Canis lupus familiaris: one gene and its partners. The protein of the gene in region 1 interacts with the protein of each later gene in a pairwise test. Links are inferred from orthologs where the notes say so. Each region holds a gene or a part of one and is shown in the gene's direction. Other genes may lie near its edges. The genes, in order: BCL2L13, PLN, TMEM86B and PLP1.

Evidence for each region.
Region 2: the proteins of BCL2L13 (region 1) and PLN interact in binary tests that used the Homo sapiens proteins (3 or more experiments, as listed by UniProt). The two-hybrid records come from large-scale screens. The link is inferred for Canis lupus familiaris from reciprocal best matches to the Homo sapiens genes BCL2L13 and PLN.
Region 3: the proteins of BCL2L13 (region 1) and TMEM86B interact in binary tests that used the Homo sapiens proteins (3 or more experiments, as listed by UniProt). The two-hybrid records come from large-scale screens. The link is inferred for Canis lupus familiaris from reciprocal best matches to the Homo sapiens genes BCL2L13 and TMEM86B.
Region 4: the proteins of BCL2L13 (region 1) and PLP1 interact in binary tests that used the Homo sapiens proteins (3 or more experiments, as listed by UniProt). The two-hybrid records come from large-scale screens. The link is inferred for Canis lupus familiaris from reciprocal best matches to the Homo sapiens genes BCL2L13 and PLP1.

What each region holds. Positions count from the first base shown.
Region 1 is NC_049248.1:696,721-701,580, reverse strand, and holds part of BCL2L13 (bcl-2-like protein 13), read left to right. Parts: intron 1-1,665; coding exon 1,666-2,484; 3' UTR 2,485-4,860. UniProt on the Homo sapiens protein: May promote the activation of caspase-3 and apoptosis.
Region 2 is NC_049222.1:59,135,425-59,141,951, forward strand, and holds the start of PLN (cardiac phospholamban), read left to right. Parts: upstream 1-2,312; 5' UTR 2,313-2,395; intron 2,396-6,527. UniProt on the Homo sapiens protein: Reversibly inhibits the activity of ATP2A2/SERCA2 in cardiac sarcoplasmic reticulum by decreasing the apparent affinity of the ATPase for Ca(2+).
Region 3 is NC_049222.1:103,190,368-103,196,914, forward strand, and holds TMEM86B (lysoplasmalogenase), read left to right. Parts: upstream 1-2,741; 5' UTR 2,742-3,821; coding exon 3,822-3,872; intron 3,873-4,136; coding exon 4,137-4,383; intron 4,384-4,915; coding exon 4,916-5,298; 3' UTR 5,299-5,519; downstream 5,520-6,547. Other genes in the region: PPP6R1 (serine/threonine-protein phosphatase 6 regulatory subunit 1), read left to right, coding at 186-346, 437-617, 712-782, 918-999, 1,322-1,432, 1,514-1,585, 1,685-1,688. UniProt on the Homo sapiens protein: Catalyzes the hydrolysis of the vinyl ether bond of choline or ethanolamine lysoplasmalogens, forming fatty aldehyde and glycerophosphocholine or glycerophosphoethanolamine, respectively and is specific for the sn-2-deacylated (lyso) form of plasmalogen.
Region 4 is NC_049260.1:77,738,742-77,745,332, forward strand, and holds the start of PLP1 (myelin proteolipid protein), read left to right. Parts: upstream 1-2,365; 5' UTR 2,366-2,470; coding exon 2,471-2,474; intron 2,475-6,591.

The sequences.
Region 1 (4,860 bases):
GGCTTTCTGAATCACATGGAAATTAATTAGCTATTCATATGTCAGTCTTCACATCTAGACAGTGAGTTTTTAAGAACAAAAATTGAGTCTCCTCTCATTCTTCCTTATAACGCTGGTGCCTGACATGGTACCTAATAAGCAATAAACACCTGCTGGATCCTGTTGAACTAAACTGCTAAATGTGAAAATGAAGACTGCCATTATTTATTTTTATTACTTTGGTGTAAAGAAAGAAGAGTCCTGCATTTCTGGCATCCCTCAGGCTACTACTCTCCAGTAATTTTATTTTATTTATTTTTTATTTCTTTAAATATTTTATTTATTTACTCATGAGAGACACAGAGAGGCAGAGACATAGGCAGAGGGAGAAGCAGGCTGCTTGCAGGGAGCCTGATGTGGGACTGGATCCCAGGACCCCAGGGATCATGACTTGAGCCAAAGGTAGCTGCTCAACCACTGAGCTACTCAGGCGTCCCTCCAGTAATTTTAAAGTGGAGCTGTGACTGTCATTGTGCAGCTGCAAGATTTCATGGACTAACCATTTCCTATTGAATAAAGTCCATATTTCTTAGCTTTCTGTCAGGTTTTCCAGGATCAGTCCTTTCCCCAACTGAACTTTCTATTCTTCATGTACACTGCGCACTGCTTAAACTGAGTTACTCTTTCCCTCTTATATTTCTGTGCTTTTGCTGGTGCTGTGTCTCCTGCATGGCTTTCCCCATGGAATCTGACCCATCCTTCAGAAACCTAGTATAAACGCTGGTTTCTCCAAGTAGTTCTGTCATCTGCTTGCCTGCTACAACCTTCACTGAAAGAAGTCCACGTCTCCCCATCTGAACCCTTACTAGTACTTGGACTGTGGGATAGCATTGCCCTACTAAGTGATAAATTCCTTGAGAGCCTCTGTTTTCCCTGCTGCTTTGCATTAATTATTGCATCAAATATAAATACATTGAGTTAAATATGGAAATCAAATTTTGGTTTTTTAGTTTCAAGGAAACTGGTTAGAGGAATGGATTGTTAAAAATTCTTCCTCTGCAGTGATCTACAAGTAAATGCATTCAATCCAGAAACTAGGTAGGCTTAAACAATGTATTTAGTCCTAGCACTTCAGTTTAGGAGAGAATTTTTTTTTTTTTAAGATTCTATTTATTTATTCATGAGAGACACACAGAGAGAGAGGCAGAGACACAGGCAGAGGGAGAAGCAGGCTCCATGCAGGGAGCCCGATGTGGGACTCGATCCCGGGTCTCCAGGATCACACCCTGGGCCGAAAGCGGTGGTAACCGCTGAGCCACCCGGGCTGCCCTAGGAGAGAATTCTTTTTTTCCAGATTTATATTTATTTTACTTTAGTTATTTTTTAAAATATTTATTTATTTATTTATTTATTTATTTATTTATTTATTTATTTATTTATTTTAGAGAAAGAGAGAGTGTGCAAGCAGGAGAGGCAGAGGGAGAGGGAGAGAGAGAACCTCAAGCAGATTATGTGCCGAGCTTGGAGCCTGACACAGGGCTGGATCCCATAGCCCGGAGATGACTACCTGAGCTGAAACCAAGAGTCAGATGCTCAACTGACTGAGCCACCCAGGCACCCTCAGATTTATATTTGTTTTAAATGTAGTTTCCATTCTTTGTATTGACTCTCCTCTTCCTTTTCTAGGGCACTGTCTTTAACCTTGAGTCAGAGGACGAAGAATATCCTGGAGTCATTGCAGAGGATAGCAACGACATTTATATCCTGCCCAGTGACAACTCTGGACAAGTCAGTCCCCCAGAGTCTCCTACTGTGACCACTTCTTGGCAGTCGGAGAGCTTACCTGTTTCACTGTCTGCCAGCCAGAGTTGGCATACAGAAAGCCTCCCTGTGTCCCTAGGTCCTGAGTCCTGGCAGCAGATTGCAATGGATCCTGAAGAAGTCAAAAGCTTAGATAGCAACGGGGCTGGAGAGAAAAGTGAGAACAACTCTTCTAATTCTGACATTGTTCATGTGGAGAAAGAAGAAATTCCTGAAGGTGTGGAGGAGGCTGCTGTGGCATCTGTTGTCTTGCCAGCCAAGGAGCTGCGGGAGGCACTCCCCGAAGCACCAGCTCCCTTGCTTCCGCATATCACTGCCACTTCCTTTCTGGAGATGAGGGAGCCTGACACAGAAGAGATGACAGTGGAGAAAGTCAGCCCTGCTACAACTTTGTTGGTGGAACTTGGTGAAGAAGAGAACTTGATGAAGACAAAAGCAGCAACGGTTGAATCTGTTCAACTGGAAGAGGAAGTGATCCCCGTGCTGGAACCCTCAGAAACACTGCTGAGTGAAGAGGAGATACATGTGAGGAGAGAGGGTCTTCGGGAAGTCCCCTCCCCTGCTGGAGAAGAGAAGGCCATCCCACTGTTTGAGGGCAAGTCTATACTGCTGTTTGGAGGGGCCGCTGCCATTGCCATCCTGGCAGTGGCAGTTGGAGTAGCACTGGCTCTAAGAAAGAAATAGCAGATTTTTCAAAAGAAGACAAAAAAGATGGAAGATGGAAGATTTTAGCTGTACTGACTGAATTTGAATCACCAACAGCTGATTTGGACATTTGTGGAACAATCTTGGATAATGGGGGGCTTCTGCTTAATAAGGCAGTACATTGATCCACATGATAGAGCTTCAGGTAGAGGGCATCCATGTTTGTCTGATTGTAAGTTCCAAGGGCCTTGGCTAATGCCAAATTCGGAATCCACGTAAAGTACTCCTTCCAGAACAGGGTTTCTCAACCTTGGCATTAATGACATCATGATTAATTCTTTGTTGTAGGAGGTTGTCCTGTGCACTATAGGTTGGTCAGCAACATCCCTGGCCTCTACCCGCTAGATAGCAGTAGCACCCTGCCCTCAGTTGTGACGACCAGAAATGTCTCCTGACATTGCCAAATGTCCCCTGGGGGCAAAATTGTTCCTGTGGAGAGCCCCAGCTTTAGAAGGGAAAGGGTTAACTTAGGAGAACCTAGGACAGAAAGTCCCAGGCAAGAGGGCTTAGCTGCAGGCTCCTCAGCTACTGAGTCGTTCCTGCCCTTGGGATTTCATCTTTCCTGATGAATATGCTGTATTTCGCAGCCATTCCTCTGTGGCTCTTCTTTTCTTGCCCACCTTCTCAGGCCCGTAGTGTGAGGGTGCTCCCCTTCTGTCTCATCTGCCTCTCAGGTACTGATTGCTCCTCTTCACCCCCAGGTTCTTTGTAAAGTCACGTGGGAGAGTGCTTTCTCTGTGTCCGCTAAGTCCCTCATGCTTCCTACAGCTCCACCTTGTAAAGATGTTGCCTTCGGTCATCTTTAAAAACATAAATAGAAAAGAGGCCTAGGGTTCCCTGCCTGTGAATGCAAGCAAGGGCAAGTAACTGCTAGGGAGCAGGTGTTTGTCTCATTGTCAAGCAGGGGGATGGATGACTTAGATGGCCTATTGCGGTCTCTTCTGGCCCTTTTGTGTAATGGCCACGCTACTGAGCTTATGGTGACTTGCTGGCAGCATCTGTTGCTGGATGGTCACTATCTGTAATCTGGCCTCAGTCTTCTTAAGAGTCAACTAGCTTTTCTGCGGTCTCTTGCCATGTGATAAGGATTTTCATACTTGGGCTTACAGACCAATTGAATCATAACTCCTATTAAATACAGAAAGTCTCCCAAATACCATTGAAATAAAAAGTAGGAAAAGAGAAGCTTGAATTTCTTGAGCCTACTACCCTCGAGATTCTAGTGTGGCTTTCAGAGTTCAGGAATAAGATTTCTTCCCAGAACTCTTTACAGTCCAAATGCCAGAGTGATAAACCAAAATAACTCTAATCAGTAAGTGCTAGTTGAGAATCAGAATAACTTTCTTTCATCAGGCCGATCCCATCCCTAAAAGGGGGTGGGAGTGTGTCTTCTCATGCCTGAGGATCAGTGTGTCACTGTGCAGGACACACATGCTTGACACAGGTCATCTCAGATCTTAGTAAATGTAACAAATTACTTTTTTAGATCCTGAAATTTGTAATAAAATTACTTTACTATCCTGATCACCAAAACTTGATGTTTTATTTTTTTTATTTTTATTTTTTTAAACTTGATGTTTTAAATGTTTTTTTTTTTTTTTTTCAATTTATTTTTAAAAATGAAATGTTCTCCCTAAAGCAATACTATTTAAAAGTTGGTCGAGGAAAGGTCTAAAATGTGTTTGGTCAGCTTCATCATGCAGTTGTATCTTTATGTTCTGAGTTTTAGTGTCTTAGGGAGTGATATTTAAAGGGTTTTGGTGCACTTTGATTAGGATAGCTAGAGGTGAGGTGGGGGAAATGGGATTAATGTAGTAAAGATTGTTTTCCTCCTTGGTCTCTGACAGTTGGCTCTGACACTGGGGTTACTCTGTTCTAATTGCTACTTTCCTGTTTGTGTAAGGTAAAAGCAAACTGATGAGTTACCTTGATTTTTTTTTCTCTTTTATTTTCCTTCCAGTGTTCACTTGTAATCTCTGGATCCTCAAACCCATTAGCTACATGCATTTAAGTACAAATAGAAACCAGTTTTATTTCAGAGCTACTAAAAGGCGATCTGTGGCTTAGGATATTTGGGTCTGTGTTCTCCACAAAAGGAAAGATCCAAAGAGTATAATAGGATGCTGCCACATGCCCGTTTATCTTCCCATCTATTTAACATGAACCCAAAGTGATCTGGCCAATTGGATCTCGCAGGGTAATGGTTAATATTCTTTTCTATTGGCTTTCTCTAGAGAGAATTGTTAGTTCGTGAGTAATAGGATGTGTCAGTGTCCCCATTCCTCCTTCACTTCCTTACCATCTGCCTCTGGCAATGGAAGGGAATACCCTGATAAGGACTGCTTCTTACAGCAG
Region 2 (6,527 bases), on another chromosome or scaffold:
ACTATAGTGACAGTCAAATATATTGCTAAAGTTTGTAGCCTACAGTTGAAACTGAGATATGCTAAATCTTATTCAGAGTTCAGTAAAAATAAAGATACAATTTGTTTTTTCCTATCCAAGTTCAAGACTACTGAACTCTACCCATAGATTGCAGGTTAAGAATCATCTTCTAAAGGAAAAGAGAAAATAAGCATGCTGACCCTTGAACAACACGGGTTTGAACTGCGTGGGTCCACTTATATGTGGATTTTTTAAAATATATATATATATGCACAATATTATAAATGTATTTTCCTTATGATTTTCTTAACATCTGCCCTTCTCTAGCTTACTTTATCATAAGAATACAGTATATAACACATATACGAAGTACGTGTTCTGTTTTATTAGGGATAAGGCTTCTGGTCAATGATAGGGTTTTAGTAGTTTTTGAGGAGTCAAAAGTTATCTGCAGATTTTCGACGATGTGTGAGGGGGTATCAGCACCCCTACCCCCATGTCAAGGATTGACTGTACTAACACTAAATGGACACTCCATTGCAGGATCTCTAATAGTGAGGACACATACTTCATCCCATTAATCTCTCACAACAAACCCATTCCACAGATAAGGCAACAGGTACAGATTTGAAGCCTCAGTCTATTGCTCAGCAGCTGTCATCTTTGACAAACCACTATAAACCACTCTAGGCTTATATTTTCAACCTAGGTTTATATTACAGTCATCATTGGCAATTGATAATAAGAGATCTTTATTATGTAAGGATTGAAAAACTGCAGCCTTTTGAGCAAAATGTCAAACATTATTCATCCAATTTCTTTAATTTGGGGTTTTATTTTTAAGTTGTAAATTTTCCCTTAGCAACGTTCATGGAGGGTCTTTTGAAATATTTTTTTTTTGTTAGTTTTAGTTGATTCTTTAAATAACAAGAGGTTTGCTTTAGAGAAGGATTTTATCTTTCTTTGGAAGAAGCCAAAACCATCTCCATTTAAGGACACATAAGCAGCTGCTGCACTACATTTTAGTTACCCATAAGAAAGTGAAGCAGGAGGAGCTCACTCTGCTATAAACATTAAAAAAAATTTTAACAAATAGCTCCTCCAGAATTACAGAAGAGATTTAAAAATTGGAATTTGCAGGTGTGTTGATTTAAGAAAATGTAATATGTAGTATAAACAAAAAATCAGAGAAAACAGGAAAATGATGCCTCGTTTTTCCAAAGAATTTTTTTTCCAGTTCTATTCTTATAGATAAACTGTTTTAGGAAGTTCAAATACCATTCCATTTACTAAAACTTTATTTGTATAGTAATTTTCATGAAAACAATTGCTGCATTAAGTGAGGCAATCTTTTTAGAAACTTTATGCACCTTAAATGTAAAACAAAATGCACTTATTTTCAAGAAAGCATCATTAACTAGAATGCCACTGATTAGGAATCTGTGATTATTTCATTTTTACTGTAAAGTTACTTTTGATATTGTCTCCACTTTTTAAAATTTTATTAAGCTTTTATGGTAGTAAAAAAAGATTTTATGGTAGTTTAACACAGCTGTTAAATAAAAAATCTTAAATACTGAAATTTGTAAATTGTAACTATTCTTGGGGTAATATATCAGTTTAAACATTATAATTATTGTTCATAAATATATTGTTAAAGCTCTACCTGAAAAAACACAAATTAATTAAATACATGTATCAGTTCTTACATGCTATGATAAAACTAATTTTTTAAACTGAAAACATTAGCCTGGTTTCCTCACACACACATCCTTTCCCATATAAATATATGAAGACAGAGAACAAAATAAAACAGTGAAAGATATAAAACTTGATTCTGTGAAAATATTTAATTGCTGTATTGTTAGAAGCTAACAGTATGAAACTGCAGTATTAAAGCAACAGCAGCGACAATACAATGAAAGTTATTTGACTAAGCCAATAATATTCTCACTCATTAAAATTCCATATATCTATTTTAGTTCTTCAACATTATCACCATCAGTACACAATTATTTCTAAGCCTGAAGATTCATGAATCTTTAAAGGGAGCTTTCTACCACCCCAAACTTTTTTTTTTTTCATTTATCTCCCATACACTTTTAAAAATTACAAGCAAAAAAATGTGGCACAAAGTGTTAATGACCTTTCCATACTCAAAGTAAGATAAGTGACATTCTAAAAGGTTTGGTTGTGATAAGACTATGGCTAACCAATCATAACTTCAGAATTCTTGTATGACATCATAAGACCTCCCTAGAACACTTTTCCTCCTACACCTACTTCAATTGTTGCCATAAGTCTGGTAACAGAGTCAGAAAACTTTCTAACTAAACACCGATAAGACTTCATACAACTCACAATACTTTATATTGTAATCATCACAAGAGCCAAGGTAAGAAATAGATTTCATTAATTTTGGTAATTCTTGTTTTTCAGAATTCAAAATTACTAAACTTTTTCAAGAGTTAACCATGTTTTGTAAATTTCAGTTCAAAGTTAATAAAATGTGTGATATGACAAAAACTTTAATTTCTAAATAAATGCCTGTTTGGTGACAGTAAGAGCAAGACTTAACTTTGAAATAATAAGGGTCGCATCATCTTTGACCTTGGTTAGTGATTTGTCATTTTAATTTGACTTTCATTTTTGCTTCTGAAAAGTGGATTTTTCCAATTAAAATATCTTTCAATTATGTAACTATATTTGGTGGTAATGGAGATCTTATTCCTTCAAGCAAAAACAATGGCTACATCTTGTTATCTGTTACTGTGCTGAAAAACAGGGTAGGACTGGGCTTCTATTTACATCTGTGATACTATGAACAGTCGTGTGATTGTACAACACGCACACTGCTGGCATGATTATTCCAATATTATCAGTATGATTCTTTACAATAAATATTTAACAGAACTTTTTAAAATATAAAACAAACTAATTTTAAAATGCATTTGAAGACTTTTTCCCTCTCTATAGAGTCCACTCAACTTTTAACACTTCTAAAAATAATTCCAAGATTTAATAAATTCAATTACTTACATGAAATCAAGCTTGGAAATTTTAAAACATCCATTAAAAACACATGTAAAATTCTTTGTAAAGTTAGAGAATACTAATTTGGCACTTTTAAAAAATAAAGACACATTATTTTGGCAGAACATTCCTAAATATCTCATTTTAGTGAATCTGATAAAATGTTTATTCCGCCTATTAATGAATATACTGTTACCAAGTTACTATCCTCCGTGGTTTCTCATTATCCTCTCCTGCATTTTTAAGGGGGAGGGGGGGAACGATGGAGAAGGAAACTTTTCAAATGCCCAGAGATGAAGATGATACATTTTATGACTTCTGTCTGAATTCCACTTACTCTTGATGTTACAATCCTCAGTTTAATATACAAAATGTATCTTCATTCTTAAATCTCTATCAGTCAGGACATAGAGAATCACATCAATTTTATCTCATTTCTATTTTCATATGTATGTCAAAATAAAATTTATCTCTGGAATTCTAAGCTCCTATGATATTAACTCTATTGCTTTTTACAGAAAAGGACTTTGTAATTCCACAAGCAGCTTTCCTTAAGACATGTGAAAACATTTCTAATTTTTGCCTACCACTGAGATACTGTAACCACTTCTCAATATCTTTATATTCATAAAATGTATTTCCTTTGGTATCACATGAAAGTCACTTGGTGCAGGTGTTTTATACACATATTTATGCATTTTTACTCAAATACCTATCAAATTACATTCTCACACTTGAAATGGGATATTCATGAGCTCTTTTATGGTACAAGAATTTCACATCACATATTGCTCCAAAAAGTTGATAATTTCTAGAAAGAGCACAAATTCAGCTATTAAAGTTATTCTTCAATAAATAATGTATACAGGCTAATAAAAATTACAGTGACAGCTCTTCAAATTTCAAACAGAAATACCCTACTGGCAGACTAGTCCCAACTAGTTTATCTCTATCATAGGATGAAATTTAAGCATTGTCTTTGTTTTAAGAAGACAGGAGGTTTAACTTGTTAAAAAAAAAAAGTGAGAGATAAAATAAAATGGAAGAAATATGAAGGATGTTTATGAAAAACTGATTGTTTTAAAAACATGTAAAAGAGCTAAAGTACTTGCTTTACTAAGAAGTCAGTCACTGCCATTTCCTAAAACTCAAGTATCAAAATTATTTTAACAACATTTTAGTGGAAATAATATTCCACTAATATTCTTTAAGGAAAATAATATTCCAGAGAAAAAACCTGTATTTGGTTACATATTTTTATGTATTATTTCTTAATCTCACTAATAAGTTGGAGATAGGGTAGTTATATAAACAAAGTATTTGTATAAATAAAATTTGTATAAAAGAATAAAAATTTTAATGATCATGCAATATATTATGAAATGTGTTAGATCATGTAACATATTAAATTTTTAAGTAAAAATTAAATGTAAAGATTAGATAACTCTCTAAGTTAGACTGTATATTTATTACCAGTCCTAGAAATAAAGTCATTTAAAATTTCCTTCTTTACTCCTGTACAATCTTCTAAATGTACTATTATATACAAAAATTTCATTTGATTCTTTTAACTCCCTGTATGTTTGACACTGCATCTCTTACAATTTCGGAAACAGATGCATAAAGGTGAACTGCAAGGTCACAGAACTAGGAAATGGTGGTGGCCTTGGCTGAAGCCAAGATTTTAGAACTCTAAACCACATGCACATCACATCCACTGATGAACATGGCTTAAAAATACATCATGACATTGGCAAAGCAAAATAAACTGAACGTCCTCAAATAATGTTAGTGGTACTCTAAATGCAAAGTTAGAGGACACAGACCTCTGTATTTTAATTTAAAACCACTCCATTTCATTTAAAGCTAATTTATACATGCAGTGTTATGTCCTTAATAATCTATATAACAGTCTCCTGATCACTTATAAGGACAGAGATAGAAGAAAGTTATAGATGTCCTTGTTGTTATTAAGCAATAGACCATGGAAAGCAAAACTCAAAATAACTGCACAGGCTTTAAAAAAACAATATAACATACCACAATCAACATCTCCTTTTATTTAATTTGTTTCTTTCCTAAAATTCATGTCTTTAATCTATTTAGCCTTGATGCCTAAAAATTAGGTTAACTTCTCAAAACTTTTCACAAAAACCACACTTCTGTACTTTATTCCAATTCCAATATTAAATCCTTACTTCAATTTCACTTCTGGCTTCCCCACATTCTACCACTTAAAATATTCTGCCCCATTTAAGTGCTTGGACAGAGGAATCTTGCTTTGTTATTTATGCTATGAAAATGACTTTCATCTAAACTGTGAATGAAAAATGTTGATCAGAGTAGCAAAGGAATAAACCTAAAGGTTAAAAATCAAGGAAATAATCTTTCTAAATTACAATTACCTAAATCAGGTAATAATACATAGTCTCTTTGAACATGTCCAGAAATTATACTTCAATGTTCTTACCCTATCTAATTCTGAAGCATGTGTTACCAAATAAACACAATAAAGTGAAGCCTGGGCCTACAGCTCCACCCCAGTATACTCATAGTCTACTGAGGACCTCTAGTGATTTTTAAACTGTACTCCACCTTCAGGTCTTTCAAAAAAAAAAAAAAAAAAAAAGACCAATTCACTTATTAGTGGGGATTTATTTAACTAGCGTTCATTTTTCCTTCAAACTTCTCCCCTGCATTCTCTTCCCACATCTTTTTCCCCAAAAGAAGACTCTGAAGTCTCAATGACTACAGAGTAAAAGAAATCTGTAATTGTTAAAAAATTAATTTTAACATAATAAACAGATAAATTAAGACAAGCCTATAGACAAAACAGGAACAGCAATGCGACAATTTCAAAGAGAAAAATCTCTCTATGCTATTGTTTAATGAATTTTCCTCAAGGCAGAGCTTTACAGCAAGGAAAATATTTCATTATGGAGTCAATTTAGGGGTTGAGAATATATTGATTTTTATATTTACACAATTCTTTCCATAACCAGGCAGAAGCAGCCTGAAGATTCTTTCAAATAGCCAGTGTGGACCAACAAAGTTCTGGATATTGCTGCCAAAGCAACTTCAAATAAAACTTTCAAGTTTAGTATTAGGCAATCTCAAAAGGAAAATTATGGGACGCCTGGGTTTATTCATGAGAGACACAGAGAGAGAGAGGCAGACACAGGCAGAGGGAGAAGCAGGCTCCACACAGGGAGCCCGATGTGGGATTCGATCCCAGGACTCCAGGATCACGCCCTGTGCTGAAGGCAGGCGCTAAACCACTGAGCCATCCAGGGATCCCCTAAATATTTTTGAAAAAAGGAAAATTATTCTACCAAATAGAAATTCTGGATACCCACAGACTGATTATAAATCTATGATGAACTGTCCTGACTTAATTCAACAAATCAAAAAAAAATTGCATACACAATCACTTTCAGATATCTGCAAAAAGGACAGTAAATAGTAAGAAAAAATAAAACCCCAAAATAATCTTA
Region 3 (6,547 bases), on another chromosome or scaffold:
TGGCTAGATATTGTTCTCAGTCTGCCCAAGCTCCCATGTGGAGGGAGGGTGTCAGGTCGGCCCTCAGCGCCTCCGTAGGGCACTCAGGGCGCCCACCTGCCTGCCATACCTTGGGCCCTGGTAGGCCATGACCTGTCTGTCCTGTGGCTTCCCAGCCATCCACCCTCCTCCATCCCTTCTGGCAGCACAGCCGCTGACAGGTGGTTTCTGGGCAGGAGTGGGGGCAGCACAGACAGCGAGGAAGAGGAGGATGACGACGAGGAGGACGAGGACGACGGTGACGGCCGTGTGGCTGGTGGGGGCGCCGGGCCCCCCTCTTATCCTAGCCCCGGCCCCCAGCCTCCGGGTGGGTGAAGGCACAGGGTGGGATGCAATGGGGTGCCCATGGGGTGTCTGCCTCCGGTGCTCACCCCGCCCCTCCATTCCCTCCCCCCAGGCCCCAGCTGGACAGCCACCTTTGACTCAGTGCCTACAGATGCCCTGACCGGCCCCCGAGACTCTGGGGAGAAGGAGCCGAGCTCTGGGCTCTTTGCCCCACAGGGGTCCCTCAGCATACCCCGGGACCTCCCTGCCTTGAGCCTGGCCGGCCCTGTGGCCTGCACCACCCTGCAGCTCAGGTGAGGCTTCAGGCAGACGGGTACCCAGGTCCCAGTTCACTGAGGCTGGAGTGCTGACCCCCGCTGGCCCTCGGGCTGCTTTTCTTGCCCCCAGGTCTCAGGACCCCGTGTCCCCCTCAGCACCTCAGGAAGCCACAGATGGCAGCAAAGTAGCAGAGCCTTCGGGTGAGCGCTGCCGCCTAGCCCCACCTGCGCTCCCCATTGTCCCCCAGGCTGGTGCACACTTGGCACACTGGGGCGAAGTGCAAGAGTAGCATCACGCTTACTGAGCCTTGTGTTCCCTGGCCTTTCTCTTCACAGCCCCCTGCCAGTCCTTGGTCAGCATTGGGGACCTCCAGGCCACACTCAGAGGGACATGCTCCACCCCCAGCTCCTTGGACAGGTGACTGACTGGGGAGCAGCTGCTTTAGGGGGAGGCAGGTGGAGCCTGGCCCCTGGGTTGTCTCTGCGCCACTCAGGGCCTCCGGGCAGCTGAGGGTCCTGTGCTGTGCCCATACCCACATGTGGGTGCCCGGATCTCCCCAGTCAGCCCCCGGGGGCAAGATGGCTTCCAGAAGGGGATAGACAGTGTGTGGAGCCTGCGTCTCATCCAACCCTGAGCTCCTCCTGCCTGGGGTGGTTCCCAGGGGTCTCTGATAGGAGGGTCTAGCGGAATGTCAGTGATGGTAACCTTACTGATACCCAGCCCACCCCACTCTCAACAGTGCAACCAGAGACCCTGCTACCTCTGTTCCAGCCTCCGGGGCCTGCCAGCACCCCCAGACCACAGAGGGGGAGAAGAGCCCAGAGCCCTCAGGGCTCCCTCATAGCCAGAGGTGAGTGCCGTGCAGCCTCCAGGGTAGCTGGTGTCCTGTGGGGGGAGGCACTGACCTTTCTGTGTCTCTATCTCCTGACAGTGCCCAGGCCCTTGAGCCACCTCCAATGCCCAATGGCTCTGCCCCCGGAGGGCCAGCGTCCCTGGGTTCCCAGTGAGTGGCAAGGGCCATGGGTGGTAGGTGGGCTGGGGCTGCACAGGTGGGTGCTTGGGGGATAGCGGGCTTCTCATATGGGTATCTCTTGGTTCCCAGGTAACTGCCCGGTCCCGGTGGTGGCGGCTAAATCCTCTGTACTCCACATGGACCCTGCCCGAGTGGGGGCAGGGTGGGGCCCATAGTGGCCCTGTTGCCCCATCACCCTGTCCCCACCCTCTCTGCCCCCACATTCTCTCCTTTAGACTCCCAGGAGCCCGGTGCCAGGGAGACAGGCCCCTACCCACCTCCATTTGCACTGAGAAAAGAAATTATGGAGTTTTGTCTCCTAGAATAAAGAAACAGAGTTGAGTAGAGAAAAAGAAGAGAGAGAGAGAGAGAGACCTATATTATATATTATATACAGAGAGAGAGTGGGTGGATGGAGAGCCAGGAGCAGGCCCGGCCAGGCAGGGCAGCTGGTGGGACCTGCTTCCCATCCCGGTGGGGTGGGGGGTGGGGGTGCTGTGTAGGGTCCTGGGGCCGTTGCCCACTCTCCCCTCCCACCATGCCTCCAGCCTCCAGTGCAGATGTCCACACCCACACTTGGTCAGGTCCACCTCGGGGGAGGGCCCGAGTGGGGGCCGTGCCTTTGCCCAAACCCTTGCCCTGGACCCTGCACTTTGACCCTGGCTGGGAGATAAAGGACCCACCTGGCTCTGCTGGCTCTGTGGGAGCTGGCAGTCCCCATCCAGGGGGTTTCTCCGGTGACATTCCCATGGGGCCCTGATGCACTCACTGAGAGCCCCCTCTTGCACCTCCCATGGACCCCGGGGGTGGGGAGTTGGCGGGGGTCTGGCTGGGGTCCCCTTCCTATGCCCAAGGGTCTGGGGTCCAGCCCAGCTGCCAAGTGACCTTGTCCCAGCTCCCTCTCCCCAGGCTGGCGTGAGTGTGCGTGTGTTCGTGCTGAGCTTCTATTTCATATTGCAAATATAAATAAAGACAGTTTAAATTCCTGCTCAGACCATGAGTTCTGGAATCTGGAGTTGGGTGTCCTGAGCTGCCCTTGCACCCTGGCCTCGGGCTTTGAGTTCTGGGATCTGGGGTGGGGGCCTGAGCTGCCCTTGCACTCTGGCCTCTGGCCTTGAATTCTGGGATCTGGGGTCGGTGGTGGGGGCCTGAGCCGCTCTTGTACTCTGGCCTTGGCCTTGAGTTCTGGGATCTGGGGTTGGGGGTTCTGAGCTGCCCTTGCACCCTGCCGTCAGGACCCCAGGCCTTCCCTCAGCCCCTGGGTATGGCCCTCAGAGTGCAGTTTGGCTCCTGGACCTTCATGATTTGCTGAGGGTGGGGTCACTTATGCTCAGACCAGGAAAGGGTGTCCCGGGAGGAGGAGCAGAGCCCTGCCTCATCCCCACAAGCTGTTTTTGGAGTCCCTCCATGCCCCCCAGCCCTGTGTATCCCGGGTCCATACATACCTCCAGTCTTGGTGGGGGTGACATGGCTGGGCGACTTTGCAGCAGTGATGTTCTGAACCTTGTCGCATGTAGTGGAGCGGTGGGTGCCTGTGGGTGGCCAACCCATCGAGATAGGTGGGTACCCAGTAAATCCATTCCTTCTAAACCAGAAGTTGAGCACGGGCCCAGTGCACTTGCAGGTTTGCACAAAAGTCTGTTGGGATGACATGCAACTCAAGCCAGCATGGAGCGATGACTATACAACCCAGCACTTGGCATTTGATCCCTCTGGATTGTCTGTGGACAGATTCTGGGGGCCTGAGGCCAGAGCTGAGGGTAGCGTGAGGTGTGGCCCCCGGGCAGCCTTCTGGGGGACGGTGGGCAGGGACATAGGGAGTTTCCATCCTGCACCTCCAGGCAGAATGGTCCTGCCACCTAAGACCAGGGATGATGGCGCTGCCCTGCTCAGGGGACCCCAGGTGCAGGGGAGGGCATTGATGGCCACGCACCTGTGCCTCCCTTGCCCTCCTGCCACTGCCAGGCAGCCAGGGAGGAAGCCAGGTCTGGTGGGCAGGGTCAGGGTACTGTGGGGGAGGAGGGACCCCTGGGTCCCCCGTGGTTGCCTTATCAGCGGTGCCAGGTGGGGCCATCCCCAGGGCGGGGGCAGCATCTCCTCGGGCCTGTTATCGGTCCCAGAGTCCACAGGACGCTCCTCGGGTTAACGTGTAACCACACACTGTCCCCTCCACCCCCAAAGCCACCCGTGCCCACACACACGCTACTCTGGGTAGTCATAGACCGACATGGACGCCTGGGAAGAGGGTCTGCCGGGAAAGCCTTGCTTCTTAGTCCAAGTGAGATGCCGGGTGTGGGAGGGGGTTAGGCCTGGGTTCTGGGGAACCTGAGCAGCCTGTGGGAATCAGGGGGCCCTGCCCTCTCTGGAGGCTAGACATCCTGGTCCCTGAGCAGAAGCTCCCCGCAACAGACAGCATGACTCTGGTTCCTGGGTTAGGGTGCAGTGGGGCCCCACCACCTAGTCCTGGCTATTGGGGCCTGCCCCCCAGGGGCCCGGAGCTGGCTGGGCTCTAGGGACTCCATGACCCCCTTGTCTCTCAAAGCAGCCACGCCTGTGCTGGTGGTTGAGCCCCTTCTTCCTCACCTGTGCTGTCTACTTCCTCCTCTGGATCCCTGAAGACCAGGTATCCTGGGTCAGCGCCCTCGTCAAGTGCCTGCCTGTGCTGTGCCTGGCGGTGTCCCTGCAGGCTGTGCGAGGGGGCAGGGGCTACCACACACGCCTGCAGGGGGCCCTCCTGTCCTCAGCTGTGGGGGATGCCTGCCTCATCTGGCCTGAGGCCTTTCTCTATGGTGAGTGGGGCCGCACTACGGTTTCTGGACTCCACCTGGACACGAACCCCTGCTCTCACAGAGCCCTTGTTCCCCTAGGGTATCAGGAAGCAGCAGTGCCTTAGGAGGTGGGAGTGGTGTGGAGGGACAGCAAGGAGGGGCTTCAGGTGTAGCAGTCTTGAGTAGCTGGTCAAGGATGGCCTCACCAAGGAGGTAATGTCTCAAGAGTGCAGGAACCACCTGAGGAAGGATGGTCTGGGCAGAGGGACTGGCAAGTGCAAAGGCCCTGGGGTGGGACTGCTGGCAGGTCAGAACAGGTGGGTGGGGAGAGCCGAGTGGGGAGCAGAACACAGGGACAGTTGTAAGCAGAGTGAGGATGGGATGCAGTATGCTGTAAGGAGAGGAGAGCTCTGCATCATGGGGGCTGGTACCATCCCAGCAGATGGGGATGGTGTGGCCAGGGTGCATGCTGCTGCAAGGGGCAGTCCTTTCCTCAGGCTCTGAGCTGCAAGGTGGCCACGTGGGAGCAAGCAACAGGTCCTGTCTCCTCCAGGTGTGGCTGCCTTCACCATGGCCCACCTGCTCTACCTCTGGGCCTTTGGCCTCACTCCCCTGCGGCCAGGCCTCCTGCTGCCCGTCGCCCTGGTCTCCGTCCTGTATTACGGCCTCCTGCTGCTCCACCTCCCAGCCAGCATGGTCCCGGCCCTGGCGGCCTATTCCTTGGTCCTGGCCTCCATGCTGTGGCGCGGCCTGGCCAGAGGTGGGACCGTCTGCTGGGGTGCCCTGCTCTTCACGCTCTCGGATTCAGTGCTGGCCTGGGATACCTTCGTCCAGCCACTGCCCCACGCCCGCCAGGTGGTCATGACCACCTACTATGCTGCCCAGCTCCTCATCACCCTGTCAGCCTTCCAGAGCCGCAGGCTCAAGACCACCTGACTGGGGTGGCAACATCCTGGGGCTCCCAGACCGGCCCCACCACTTGACACGGTGAGAACCGTATGTGGAAATCCACGTCTGTTGCCAAGGCCCTGCCACCTTCCCTCTGTTCTGACTCTGGATTCCAGACCCTACCCCCACAGCCTCTCACCTGCCTCCACCTGCCCTCCTCTCCTCGGCCCTGATCTATTTTGTGCCCAAGTAAAGTGGACACTAAAACAGTCACATCTCTGTTATGTGGGGGAGGAGTGCTAACAATACCAGTAAATGTTATTTTTTTCTTTGTTTTTGTATTTTTTATTATCGTTATTTTTTAAATATTTTATTATTTATTCATGAGAGACATAGAGAGACGCAGAGACACAGGCAGAGGGAGAAGCAGGCTCCCTGCAGGGAACCCGATGTGGGACTCAATCCCAGGACCCCGGCCGGGATCATGCCCTGAGCCAAAGGCAAATGGTCAACCACTGAGCCACCCAGGTGACCCTCTTCTTTTAATTTTTAAAAAAGATTATTTATTTAGAGCGGTGGGGAGGGACAGAGGGAGAGGGAGGAGAGAGAATCCTCAAGCCAACTCCCCACAGAGTGTGGAGCCAACATTGATGCTTGTTCCCAGGACCCTGAGATCACAGCCTGAGCTGAAAACAAAAGTCGAATGCCCAACTGACAGAGCCACCCAGGTGCCCCCCCCCCCCTTTTTTTTTTTAAGCAACGGAGCATCATTTTAACCATTTTTATTTTTATTTTTTTTATTTTTATTTTTTTAAAGATTTTATTTATTTATTCATGATAGTCACAGAGAGAGAGAGAGAGAGAGGCAGAGACACAGGCAGAGGGAGAAGCAGGCTCCATGCACCGGGAGCCCGATGTGGGATTCGATCCCGGGTCTCCAGGATCGCGCCCTGGGCCAAAGGCAGGCGCCAAACCACTGCGCCACCCAGGGATCCCATTTTAACCATTTTTAAATGTATGATTCAGTGCCATCAGGTAAGTACATTCACTGTGCTGTGCACTGAATGTGTTTTTATGATCATTCCCCTGATAGAAACACTGAGCTGGACCCTCATAACACCACATGTACAGAATAGAGTTGCTGACCATGGGCAGGCCTGGCACCCTGGGCTTAAGGAAGGTGGAATTCCCCCAACGTCCCCAGGTCAAAGTGGGTCCACCCCGTCCTCCACCCCCAGCAGTGACCTCTACACAGCAATGACAGCAGGAGAGGTGCCTAACAAGGTCATCTTTCACA
Region 4 (6,591 bases), on another chromosome or scaffold:
AGCACTGTGTCAAGACATCCGGAGTGACTACAACATACTAGATCCTAGGGAGGTGGAACCTTAAGGTACTGTGAGCATGACCAGGCTGAGCCCCTTTCCCATCCTTGGACCTAAAAGCAAGGTGGAGACAGGAAGACATAGTCCATCAAAGAGTGTGGAGAGAGAAAAAGAGAGACAGAGAGACAGGCAGTCAAACAGCAGAGATGGAGAGATTAAGACTTGGGGAAAGGACAGAATGCTAAAGTAAAGTGCTAGAGATGAAGGAAAAGAGAAGAAAAATGTGGTTGAAAAATTGATGTTTGTGAGTTTACTGGGAACAAATATTTTCTTCCAAGTAGCCTAACATTCCCCAGAGCTGCTGCTGAAAGTTCAAGGGCAGATTTGTAAGGAGGCTCAGCCTGAGCAATTTCCCCTGCATGCAGAGCTGTCTTTTCTATCTGAGCCATGAAAAACCATCTCTCTCATTGCCTAAATCAGAATCCCAAAGTTTGGACTCAGTTCCTTCTGCCATCTGAGGAGCTGAGGGCACCCATTTGGTGACTTCTTGCTTTTGGTCCTCCCTCTCTTCCAGGGCTATTCTGATAATGATCATCCAGAAGTTAATTGTTGGCAAAATCCTACAGCCCAGCTTCCTCAACAGGCAGAGTCTATGACTGGAGAGCAGGTATAGCGAGGTCAGGAGTCCTGGGAGCTTCTACCATCAGTCATGTGGTCTTATTCTAGTCTGATCTGCAAAACTGCCACTATATACTTCTGCAAAAGAGGCATTTCCAAGGACCCTTTCTCTTTGGGTGGGATTCAGGACCTGGGTGAAGCCACAGGGGCATCTATAGAAGACTCAACCACTTCCTAATAGCAATGCCCAAGCCAGAAACATGGTCCAAGGTCACAGCCCAAAGAGAAAACTGTAAGATTCAATCTTGCCTCTCCCCCCTCCCCCAGGATGATTGTAGGCTCTGTTCAGTATCTCCTTCTTCTCCTCTCTATCCCCAAGGCAAAGCTATAGGGAAATTTTGATGGTGATGAGGAAGGGGTCATATCTTCTTCCCCAGAGTCTTCCAACAAGTACTCCTTAAATTATATGCCAACCAGTTTCCTTATAGGCTACCTGTGGGAGAATATGGCCCTCAGGATCGAGAGAATGGTGTTCCTCTGAGGCACTTGAAGGGAAGGGAACACAAACAAGGAGCCTACATAGACACTGGTTAAGATTCACCTCTTCTAGAAAACCTTCCCTGGCTAATCTCACCTAATATTAGGCACTCAAATATCTTCACAGTCTTTAGAAACATGTATTATTGTCAGGGCAGATTTCATATATTGTTCCCCTGTTTTTGCTTCTTTGGCCATTTTTTCTTAGTGTTTTTTTTTTCTCTGAGGCAAGCACTTTAATTCTTTTCCCCTTCTCTCCACCTTCATTGACAGCTGCTGCCTCACCCCAACTTGCTCTCTGCCTCTCACCAGCCTGGCCTTAGCTCTTTTATGACACTACAGTCTCAGGATGGGATATTGACTACCTGATTCCCAGATTGTGTTAGTGATTTGTCTCAAAGTCAATTAAACTCCTTGGAAATCACCCACATCCCTAAATGACCTCTTTACCTTATTCTGTGAACATGCATAGGTCTTGTCTTCTCTCTGGGTCTCTGTTATTCTATCTATACAATTTTTACAATTGTAGCCTCCCCCAGCGTGGTCAAAATCTGTTTATGGAATCAACAGCTTGTGTTTTGTCCTCATTCAGTTGAAACCAAGAAAGATTTGGAAGGAATTATTTTAAAAGACAATTTTTTTCTTCTCTATTGTGATTCTATTGCTGGGTAGGGTGAGGGATGCTTCTTTGCCAAGAAGTAGGGGGAGGAGAAAGGTGGACAGGGCCAAGAGAAGCTAAGAGTGAGGGGTGGGGTTGGGGCAGAGTTGGAAGGACTCTGGGAATAACAGCTAGGTTTCTGACCCTGACCCTTTGGCCAGGGCTACAACTTCCATGGCTTCTGACACTTGTGCTGTCATATCCCATACCAAATAGACCCAAGCATCAGTTGGAGGCTTCCAGGACCTCTTTTTTATTTTTACCCCAAACCACATTTCCAGATGTCTCTGCAGCAAAGTGAAATTCCACACAGACAAGGCTTAGAGAAAAGGAGAAAAACAGAAAATGAAACAATTTTCAGTTAAAAGCAGAAAAAGAAGATGGAGCCCTTAGAGAAGGGAGTATCCCTAAGGAGGTGGGGACAAGGGGAGGAGAAGGGGAGGAGGAGAGGAGGAGGAAAGCAGGCCTGTCTCTTTAAGGGGGTTGGCTGTCAATCAGAAAGCCCTTTTCATTGCAGGAGAAGAGGACAAAGATACTCAGAGAGAAAAAGTAGAGGACCGAAGAAGGAGACTGGAGAGACCAGGATCCTTCCAGCTGAACAAAGTCAGCAGCAAAGCAGACTAGCCAGCTGGCTACAATTGGAGTCAGAGTTCCAAAGACATGGGTGAGTTTCAAAGACTTTAGCATGGAAGATTCAAGCAGGCACAGAAATTTGCAAGAGAATTTCCAACTCTAGGGCTTGGGGTTTCCAATGGTTTCAATGAGTTGTGTTTTTGGCACTTGTTTTATTTAATTCTTTAGCACTCAATTAGGTTAACCCTTTCTCTGCTGTACTGAGAATGTAGCTTTATTGCCAAAGAACTCCAGCAGCACGTGGAGAGTACCATAGGTCCTTGGAGAGAGTGCCCAGAGGGTTGGATGTGGTCATGTGTCCTCCTACCCCCTCACTTCTACCTTCTCTTTTCCCCTGTTCTCAGGCCCTAGTAATGGCTGGGTCAGCTGACAACCCTGGTTCTTCTGGAGACAAATGAGTGTTGGCTAGCCCTCAGATGTATAAAATAACTGCTTGCTTGATAAAAAATTTGGACCCTGTTTAGCATCAGAAGGAAATTGGGGAATTGGGCAAGATGGAACTCAGGCTTGGCTATGGGTGAGAAGGCCAATCTCAGGTCCAGGAAATGAAAATAAAGGCCTCAGTGGCTTTACCATGGGGAGTCAATATGGGTAGCATATGTGTACGTGCATGCAAACGCACACATACATATATGGGTGACCATATCTAGCAAAAATCACAGACTTAGCCTTTCAAAGGACATGATTCAGACTCTAAATTCCTCCTATGACAAGGAAGCTGCTGGGACATTAGCACTCTTACCGACTTGGTTGAGTACTGAAGGCTTCTCCAGGTTCTATGAACAAAGACAGAAGCTATAAGGTCTGGTCTTTGGTAGCGTCTACTTAGAGTAAGATATACAGAGCACAAGGATCTTTGTCCACACAGGATGCCATGGAGACATGTAGACAACACTCACATTTGGCAAAAGAATAGCAGCTTGAATGCATCCTAAATGAAGTGAGAATTAATTGTCCTGTGTATTCACCATCATATGTAGTACCCAGAAGACTCCAGCAACATCCATGGAAAAAGGTTTTTGATTATATTAAGCTGGTGTCAGCCTTTAGATTGTTTCATCCTGAGGGAGATCTTTGAATCATGTGTTTTGCATGGAAAATTAAGAGAGGAGGGCACTGGATTAGAATCAACACAACCAGGTTCAAATCCCAGATCTGCCACTTATGAACTTCATGACCTTGGGTAGGTCACAGTGAATTATCACTTTATCATATGGAAAATGGGGATAAAAATAGTTGCTTTGTCTACTTTCAGGGTTGTAAAAATCAAGTAATAATGATGTGGATGTAAAAATGGGAAAACTCTATAACAATTTTAGATAATGATAATACCAATCATTATACAATAACACATGTATAAGCTGACTCTTAATCTTTCCAAAGTGGTTTGGGCTTTCTTTGTGTATATTTTGTGCACTTGGGTAAAAATCATTTGACCGAGTGTAGCCAGGTGAGAGGTGAATGTTAGAGGAACTAAGTTCCTACGCTTGGTGACATCAGGAACCCTATGTAATGTCAGGGCAGCTGATTAAGTAGATTGTGAATTTAAAAAAATGGAGAGGGAGTAGAGAACGATGCTGAATATTACTTCCTCAGGGGATGAGAGCTGTGAGGAAAAGGCAGGAACAAATGAGGTGACCACAGGGACAGTTCCCTGTTATGGAGGCTGGATGATTGTTTCCAGGGGAATCTCCAAGGGAGATTGCCACAGATAAGGGCACAGTTGAGATTGTATATTGGATCCCAGATTTTGGAGGTGGACAATCTTTGGGCCAGGTGCACATGAGAGTGTAGTCATTGAGTTTTCAATTATTTGGTAACAAAGTATCTTAAGTACTTTGTAAATAATAGAACATATCTAACAAGGAGTGCACTCCAAACATGGAGCACATGGCTGTTTAACGATTGTAGTAGACAAATTATATCATGGAATCTGGGATTGGAAGGAACTTTATTTATTTATTTATTTTTTAAATTTTTATTTATTTATGATAGTCACGGGGGGGGGGGGCAGAGACACAGGCAGAGGGAGAAGCAGGCTCCATGCACCGGAAGCCTGATGTGGGATTCGATCCCGGGTCTCCAGGACCGCGCCCTGGGCCAAAGGCAGGCGCCAAACCGCTGCGCCACCCAGGGATCCCTGGAAGGAACTTTAGAAGCTGCCTCAGCCAACTCTCAAGGCAAAATTCTTTTCTATAGCAGCCAATTAAATGTTCCTATGGCCTCTCCTTAATCACCCCCAGAAACAGAGAGCTCACTACCTCAACCACATAGAATCCTGTAGGATGGGAAGCAGAGAGGAACACTGAATTCAGTATTGTCTATATAAAAGGTTTATGGGGGAAATGATAATTCATTAAACCTTGTCCTGACTTGGGAAGGGGATGTTCCAAATGAGCCTTTGGGATAACAATGGAACTGAAAAAGAGTTAAAGAGCAGTATCTGATTATTCTCTGCTCAGTAACACAATGCCATTACTGAACAGCAAAACATTGGATCCTGCAAGCCTGTTGTCTGAGAACAGTGGCTGTTACCCTGGTAACCAGACTGTGATGCTTCCCTCTAAAGGTGGCTATTTGCTGAGCAGTGTAGTTTTGTCTGGTACAGACTAAGTGAGGGTAGCCCAGAAAAGAAAGAAGTGTGGATACAAAGCAGGGGTCCAGTTTTACAAAATTTTGGCAGACTAACTGAATCCCACCAGGATGGCAAGAATGCCACAAGAATGCCAAGAGCAGAAAATGCCACAAGAATACCAGATCCAAAACAGCATACTCACTCTTCCTACAGACAATGACTAAAATGATATTGACAGCCTTCCCCACCCCATTCCCCACCTTGGCTCTGCAGAGCCAGAGAAACTCTTAGAGAGCCAGGCAGACTGAAATGCTTGCTCTGCTTAGAGGAGCTTTTGCCCTGGCTCTGGGCTATGAAACCTGGAAGTTTACTCAAGAGCTTGATTACTAGAACTACTCTATCAAAACTATGTGAGTAGTAATAAGGTCTAAGAACCCCTGAGAGATGGGTGGGAAGGGACATATAGTGTTTAAATCCATCAAAGCACTGGCACCCAGCCAGTGGCATCTTTTCCCCTCGTTGCCTTTTTTTGTGTTATCTTGAAGCCCTGAAAACCATCCCCAGGGTGTAGTTTTTGGTCTTTAAAGAAAGCAACTGTAGAAATGCCCTCCTTGCCTACAGAACTTCAGATCTAGAGAAGATCAAGTCAGGGCAGTGGCACGATCAGATAAGGTCACGTCAGCATGGAAGGGAAACAGAGTAGATTTTCCTTTCTTTCCCATTGTTAGGGCCTCCCGAGTGCCAAACTTACCTCAAACACTCTGCAAGTACTGATTAATTAATTCCTCCTTGGTTATTTGAAAATGGTCCTAAGAGTGATCTCTCAGCTCTGTATTTGCCTCTGAGCTCTCTGCTAGGCAGAGCTCTGGAAAAGAATCAGTGACATCCCAAGGAAGAGAACAAGGTTTCCCAGATCAGCTTCACACTGCAAACAAGGAGAGAGAAGGAAATGGTAAGAGAGTGACCTAAGGAAGAAGGTATAGAAAATGTTGTCTTTTAGCTTATTGTCAGGTGCTTCTCTTTTACCTCTGCATAATTGGGCAAGATGAAGACAATATGTCAGGGATAGAGTTTAATAATCAAGGTTCTATTCAAACCTCTCAATGTTTGGGTATATATTGGCATCTGTGTGTGTGTGTGTGTGTGTGTGTGTGTGTGTGTGTTTGGGGTGAAGTGGGGAGTATAGGAAACAAGTTGGCCCAAATGCTGTTGTTATAGTAATAATAATATCAGTACAACGAATAGGCTGAGATTCCTTTTCATTTAAATTTATCCATAGGACTTGACTATCCATCAGGCTTGGATTCCCATGTCCTAGTGGCTCTAGGGCCCCTTTCCACCACTTGAATGTGGTATAAGTGCTGATTTCACATAGAGAGGACAATATTACAGGCAGGGCTTTGTCTGACCAGAATAAGGCCAGAAGCAAAAGTCTTTGTCTCTGGTACCTCCTGATGATTGTTGTTTTACTCCTAGAACCCACCCACTGATCCCCATCTATCCCCAGTACCAGTCACGGTTGCTTTAGCATCTTGGCCCTGTCAACTGGTATAGGCCCCAATCAAGGAGGCCT